Coturnix japonica: one gene and its partner. Each later gene encodes a partner of the first gene's protein in a complex. Links are inferred from orthologs where the notes say so. Each region holds a gene or a part of one and is shown in the gene's direction. Other genes may lie near its edges.

Region 1 (3,811 bases):
GTTCTGTTGTTGTTTGTTACCAACCCCAAGAAAATAGGCAACGTCAAAAGGTTCTGTTCAGCATCCACTTAGAAACATGGATGTGTGATCGCACAACAGCCTTATGCTGATTTCATATTCTTTGAAGCACGAGAGCTCGATTCTGTTTTCAAAAGCGTTTTTAAAACAAAGGTGCTTTGTGTTTTGATCTTCTGATGATTTTGCATTGAGAATAATACAGCTGGGAAGTAGCTGAGCACGTGGCAAATGAGGCTGTGGAAAGGAAGGTTATTTTATTGTTCTATGTGCAAAGCAGCAGAAATACAGCTAGATGTACCACAAAAGCACACTGTATGGGCTGCTGCTACCACTGGTAGCTCTGCACTGAGCAGAGCAGCTCTGCGGGCTGTGTTGGGCTGCAATGCCTGGGGAAGCAACTTGTGTGAGGAAATGAAATGGGAAGTGAGTGAGCAGTAGGATGGGAAGAAGGGCAGATCCACCTGCACACACTGCGCCTGCTCTCCCATCCACGTCTCAGTCCTCATTTATTTGATTCAAAGCAACTGTTGCAGTGTTTTATGTTACGTATTGCTCCCCTGACTGAGGGCAGCCACGCTTGTACCAGGGTAAGGTTTGTTTTTGATGCTGTATCATTTCATCTTAGTTAAAGATCAGGGAAACAGATTCAGGCTGCACAGCGGTGTGCAGCCATAGTAGAGTTCCTGCCTCTCCCGTGTCCTCTCGCACACAGAAGAATTCAAGTTTAGTGAAAATTGCAGCTGTTTGTATGCTATTGATAACACTCCCTTTTGTTGAGCAGGAAGGAAAAGCTGCCTTCGTAGGGTTATATGGAGAAAGGTGATGGGGGCATTTGATGTATTGAATGCTTCATTTTTCAAGGCAATCACTGGATATTTTGAACCTTTGCGCTACATACAGAAAATGTGTTGATGTACTGACTTGCTACAGTAACCTTTGGGAGTCAAATTCAGGGCTTTAATTATAGCTCAGCTCACATACAAACTACTTTGTGGCTCCTGGACTATGGCAAGTGCTTGTCCATGCTATCAGGTTTGGCACAAATGACTAGGCTTAGCACTTTTCACCTCGAATGTCACAAGAGCATTTAAAAACCGGAGGGAAACCCAGCAGCCCTCAGCCCTCTGTCTTTAGTCTGTGCCTTGTTCCAGCCCGCAGATGAAGAAAATGCATTTCTAACAAACTAAAGCAACAGGGCACAGGGTGAGCAGAGATGTTACGAGCTGTGCGTTCTTGCAGCCTGGTTCTCATATGAAGCTGGTACCAGGTGCCACCTTCCATAAGAGAGCAAGGAGGACTGGTATGGCTGCAAGACTTATTTCTTCTCAGGCTTCCCAGGGCTATTCCTACCTGTCTTCCTCTCTGCTTGCACTCACAGAGGTGCATGGACTTGTTTTGCCTTGTGACGTCCCTCTAAATCTGAAAGCAGCAAGCAATAGGATTGTAGCACATTTAGGGTTCCTAAGCTTGGTTGTTTTGTTGTTCTGTTTTTGCTGAGCTCACCATGAACTCTCTGAGGATTTCCACTGTGGTTCAGCAGCATGCAGAGATTTATGTGGAGGTTCCTGCACGCAGCAGCCCTAAACTCAAATCCTTCTATTAGGCTAAGCTACATTTGCAGTATGCAGATTTCACATACATGTTTCTGGGTTACTGTATGATGTCCATATGTATTCCAAAATAAAATCCGTGTTTTTTCCTTTCCTTTGTTCTCTTCCCAAGAAAAAAATAATAATAATTGGTTAAGAATAAGGCCTAATCCTGCTGCTTGAAGTCGGGGAGAACAGAGTGGGGAAGTTCATTGTATAAGCACAGCTGACAAATCTGCATGTGAATGTGGTTTTGTTCAGTGTGGGTGTTTTTTTTCCCTCCAGTCTCCTTTATGCTGTTTAATGATGGTGAATGTCCTGTAGCCTCAGGGACTTTTCCATTTTGGTGCTGGGAGGAACTTCTTTGCAGATCTTGTTGCTTTTATGAAGCAGTTGTGTTTTACAGATGTGGCCATTATAGATTCCAGCCATTCCCTGTGATTGTTCTCTTTCTACCCATGTTTGTAGTTCTTCTGTGTGCAGTAAATGTTTATCTATATACACATAAAGACAGACATTTTCAAATTGCTCACGGTGCACCATGCGAGCCATGTAGCTTCCAACAGGCATCTGTATGGCCTCCCCTGAGGGGTTCTTGTAACACCCAGTTGTGTTGTTTAATTGGGTCAAAATTAATTTTGGTGGTGAAAACTATCGTATAAAAGCAACTTGCTGTAGAAAAAGCAGTAATAAAACACTCATTATAGGGTTGTTTTTTTTCTTCTTCCATCAGGAGACACAGAGTAGGTTAAACTAAAATTATTAAAGATGTATCTTAATAACAGTGTTGTTCAGTCACCTCTGGGAATGGGTTCCTGTACTCTGTGGGTGACTAAACAGCCTGTGAAGCACAGGGGCTCTTTGAAGAGCATTAATAGCCGCTGCGCTAATGGCCATATTACAGCACTCCTCCTGCTCCCCTCTGACTCCCTTTGCTACCCGAAAGTTAGAATGGATGCGGTCTCTGTGTAAGTGGAGACAAAAGTAAATTGACTGCATTATGTCTGTGCACTGTTGGGCAGAGGGGCTGCAGGATGTCCTACCCTTATACATCAGGCTCCATACTTCAGTTATACAGAGGCACCCATAGTCGTGCTGCACTGAAAGGCATGAATGTAAATGCTGAGTATGGGACTATAAGAACCCCACTGAAAGTAGTTGTATTGACTGAAGTTCCTATTTAAGGCTGTATGCGAGCAACCACAAAACTATGAGGATGCCCTGATATCTGCCAGGCAAGAGGGATTCATGTTTTATAGATGGAAACAAGATTGCTAAAGATTGATATATTTCATTGCAGATGTGACGAATATGTCACACAGCTGGATGAAATGCAGCGGCAGCTCGCAGCAGCTGAAGATGAGAAGAAGACTCTAAACTCGTTGCTTCGGATGGCAATCCAGCAGAAACTGGCACTGACACAGCGCCTGGAGCACTTGGAGCTGGACCATGAGCAGTCCAAAAGGGTGCGCACAAAATCTGCTTCCAAAGCCAAGAGCAGTAACCCTACTGTAAGTCATATTCGCTCTTGTGGAGACAGGCCCGAAGGACCTGTCCTTAATAACCAGGTGTTTTGTAGCGAAAAATATAAAATCTATTGTGACTAGGAGAGGTGTGTAGAAAAACCATATTATGCATCTTATTTTATGCTGTAATTGTCAGCGTAAATCCCCACTATCTAATGTCGCGGTGAGTTGACTTGTACTAGTAAGTTGTTAAACCAGGTAATACAAGTTGTATTATGGTGGTCTTAACTGTAACTAATTCATAAGTACGGGGATGGTATTAACGAGTTAATGGTGGAAAGGAAGTAGCTTTTTCCACAATTAACGTGTGTGGGTTTTGCTGTTTATGGTAAGTGTTAAGAGTACACCTGATATATTCTATCTGGTGTTACTAACCGTAGTTTGTATAGCACAAATGTGATCCTTTCTCCAGGGTTGCAGCATACTTTAATAAATGCTTTCACAGACAGAAACGAACAGAAAACCTCCCCTGCTGCTGTGGCTAGAAGTGGTGAAAAGCAAGTGTTAGATGAGAGTTGTGTCTTGAAAACAGAGACCATTTTGAAACTGGAACCAAAATTAAATAATTTGCCTGTTATGGCAGATATGAAGAACTTGCAGTTATATCACCATTTACCAATGTCCTAAAGCTATAATAGGCCATAAAAGCTAGGAACAACACGGTAGGATACGTTATTT
Region 2 (3,819 bases), on another chromosome or scaffold:
CATTTCTCAGACCGTTTGAGGCTCTGCACACATTTTGAAGTCTAATTAAAATTGTAAGACGTGCCAGTAACACCTTCCATGGTGCGAAAGGGAACTTGCACATCCCCTGTCCTCAGCTTCACACTGCTTCAGAAGACACAATGATGTAACTGTTCCCCCTCCTAAACAAATATACCAGGAAAAACAATCCCTCTTGTTGCTAGATGATACTTGTAGCTTCTACAGTCACGGCACCTCAGTCTCTAGTTGCCCCCTGGCTTGTTTTGCACCCCCCTTGCACTGTGCTCACCCTGGGTGTTCCACTCTCCCCCATGAGTGCAGGTCACACTGCTGAGCGTGGAGATGACAACACTGAAGGAGGAGCGGGACCGGCTGCGGGGCGCTGCAGAAGACAAGGAGACGAGCGAACGGCTCCTGCAGGCCATCCGGGATCGGGACGAGGCCATCGCCAAGTGAGTGGGGACACAGCCTGAGCCAGGCTGGGCTAGGGGTACAGGAGCATGTTGCCTCCAGGGTGGCCAGTCTGAGCCCTGCTGCTGATGGGAAATGCTGGAGGAGCTCAGGAGCTCTTAGGAGCTACCCCAGGGCAGGACCAGGGGCCTTCCAGGGGATGCTGTGAGCCCTGATTTTGCCATCATGGTGCTGGTGAGTGGCACTAGAAGGCTTTAGGGAAACAAATGCAACCCCTAGCTCTGCCCTATTCCTTTTTCTTCTTTTGCTCTTCCAGACTTGCTTCCCTGCCCATCTCTATTGCAGCCTTTCCTGGACCTCATCTCTAAAACATTCCTCTGCTCACTCTCTCTCCATTCCTGTTCCAGGGTCTTTTTTGCATCTCCACTCCCATAATTCTCTTTTTCTCTGGTCAGAACTCTCCCACTGTTTTGAATCTTTATTTTTCCCCATCTTCCCCCTCACAGCCCTCTGCCATTTTGCTGCCCCATATCCTGTACCTCCTCCATTGGCTCTGCACCTTGCTGAGCTGCCCTGCAATGCTGCAGAACAGTGCAACCCTCAGTAATTTCCCTCACGAAGAACAGGCAGAACAATTCATCCCCCGTCCTCTAGGTAGAAGGGATAGGCCTGATAATCTCTTCCATATGAGGTGGCCAGAACACCACCAGTATATCCCCTTACAGACACATCTAATACTCAGGTGCTTGTGGGAATAGGAGGTGAGAGCATTGCAGCTCCGAGGATGCAGGGAGCTAAATCTCCATGCAGAGACCCTGCATCTTTTCTTAAATGAACTGGCTCACCCATGCTGCTCTTGCCCAGATATCCAGCTTCCAAATTCCCATTACTGCCCTCTGTTACACCTCCATCTGTTGGCATAAAGCAGGAGCATCCCAGCTGCACAGCCGGGTGCAGGGACGTCGTTCTGACATTTCCTGTGCGTGTGGGCTGCTGGCTCTTGCTGTGGCTATGGCAACATGCAGTAAATCCCACTGTAATATCCACAAGCAGCAGTGAGGAGCTTCAGAGCAAAAGGCTATTTCAGGTGCTCAGACCCACAACCAGGAGCAGAAGGGTACGGCTTCTCCACAGTGCTTAATGACCCTATAAAGCCCAGAGGGAGGGGACGTGACAAGTGTGCACGGATGAGTGGTGGGTGATTAATGAGCAGTAGCTGCAAGTGAAAGGAGACAGCATATAGATGCTAGAAATGAAAGCATTCCCTTGCAGACAGAGGGGATGCTGCACAGCAGTGAGCTGCCCACCAGGCATGCACTGCTCTGCCCACCTGCACCTTAAGGGTTAAATCACGGCTGTGGAAGTGCTTCCCCCCAAAAAAAGCAACCAACCAACCCAACACTGCACGCAAATAAAATCACCGCCTGCAGCAGACATCTGGCATGGAAAACATTGAGCTCAAAGCTGAAGATTGGCAAACATGGGAAGCAATAGGAAAAGAGAGTTCCAGAATAGGAAGCGTTCAGCAATCGCTACCTGGGATATAAACACAGATACCCACATTGCTCTTCTGCAGGGGAGTGTGAGGGAGCTGTTAGGAAGTGATGGGTTAGAGATAGTTCACAAAATGCAGTGATTCTTCCCCAAAATATTTTCAAGGAAAAATGGTTCCCAGCAAGTCACATTATGGTTTCCCATCGCACAGCAGTTAATCAGTAACTCCAGGTTTGTGGCCAGGTCCTTTGCTCAGCCCAAGCACCATCTCTAGAAACTGAGAGCAGAGTTGTACTTCTTGCAGGGTTATTTTTCCATATTGAAACTTGCTGCTCAGCTGAGCACAGGGAGGGTCTTTGTTTTTTAGAGCATTCTATTTCATTTCCCATACATCAGCAAACAGAAGAAATGCAAACATGTAACTCATTTTAGTCCTCCATTTTTGATGGTGGGTCCTGCATGTTGTTCAGATATACAATATGATTCTGTAGAGCAGCATGATTGAATATCTGTTCCTATTTTTCATGGTGTTGTTACCTAAAATCTGCTCATCTTATGGTAAGGATGTCTGCAGTTCTGGCCCACTCTTCTGATAAATAAACACAATACAATGTCACAACAATAAATAGACACAATTCTGATAAGTAGACCAGAATACAATGGAAAGCTGCTTAGGATTTAGGGACTTGCCAATTAAATAGAATCACAGAATGGTCTGAGTCAGAAGGGACCTTTAAAGGGCATCTGGTCCAACTCCCCCACTGTGCACAGGGACACCCACAGCTCCATTAGTGCTCACAGCCCCATTCCCTGATACTGGGTGTCTGTAGGGATGGGGCACCACCGCCTCCCTGGGCACCTCACTGTAAGCAACTTCTTCCTTATACACAATCTAAACCTCTCCTTTCCATTTGGAACCATTTTCCTTTGTCCTACCACACAGACCCTGCTGTCCCCTTCTTTCTTTTGACACCCCTTCTAGACCAAAATAAATAACCTGTTGACTTCCGAGGGGTACGTTCAATATTTCCTTAAAACAATAATAAAGTGAAAAGTCCCATTTCTTGCTCTCCCCCCAGGAAGAACGCTGTGGAGGTGGAGCTGGCCAAGTGCAAGATTGACATGATGTCCCTCAACAGCCAGTTGCTGGATGCCATCCAGCAGAAGGTGAACCTCTCGCAGCAGCTGGAGGCCTGGCAGGTGAGCAGTGCCCACTGCAGCAGGGCAGGGTTTGAGGGCATTCAGAGTACACAGCAGAGGAACCCACCTGGGTCTCCACGTTGAGGATGCCCCCTGGGCAGCCTCAGCATCGAGATACGCAGATGCAGCACATCTGTTCCTATAGCCGAGCAGAAGGTGGGAGGTGGGGAGGTTGTGGTCATTGCTCTACTGCATAGCACTGTTTTTTGTCAACGCGGAAGATGCGGCACGATGGAAAAGCTAAAATGAGAGCTTTCAATCAAGGTAAAATGAATAAATACATAAATAATGGAATCCCAAACCCACAGCAGGTGAGGGCAGATGCCCCAGAGATGTTCTTAGGGTCAGTGGGACAGACCCGTGCCAAGCAGAGAGCCTGGATGGCAGACAAAGCTGAGTCCTCTGAGAAACTGGCACTGAGGGAGCATGACTATTAGAAAATGAGCAGATACAAGAGAAAAGGTCCGGGTCAGTTACAGGAAATTGGTGCAGACCCTGCAAGACCCCAACTCTACTACCATCCAACCTGACCGGTAGAAACCTCTCCCATACAACCTCACTCCTGTTTCAACTCCACCGTGTTTTCGTTTCTTTTTTCTTCTTCTCTTTCTCCTGCTTACAGTTTGCTTCCTCAGGGCTTTTTACTATCTGGCTCCTTTGGTTTCTGATCTAGTGGCCTTTCTCAGTTCCTGTACCAACAGCTTTAGTCGTACA

Evidence for each region.
Region 2: BICD2 (region 1) and BICDL1 share a complex: the UniProt entries of both Homo sapiens proteins name them as parts of the tripartite complex. The link is inferred for Coturnix japonica from reciprocal best matches to the Homo sapiens genes BICD2 and BICDL1.

Annotation. Positions count from the first base shown.
Region 1 is NC_029527.1:4,839,530-4,843,340, reverse strand, and holds part of BICD2 (protein bicaudal D homolog 2), read left to right. Parts: intron 1-2,907; coding exon 2,908-3,214; 3' UTR 3,215-3,811. UniProt on the Homo sapiens protein: Acts as an adapter protein linking the dynein motor complex to various cargos and converts dynein from a non-processive to a highly processive motor in the presence of dynactin.
Region 2 is NC_029530.1:8,432,731-8,436,549, reverse strand, and holds part of BICDL1 (BICD family-like cargo adapter 1), read left to right. Parts: intron 1-321; coding exon 322-452; intron 453-2,984; coding exon 2,985-3,105; intron 3,106-3,819. UniProt on the Homo sapiens protein: Acts as an adapter protein linking the dynein motor complex to various cargos and converts dynein from a non-processive to a highly processive motor in the presence of dynactin.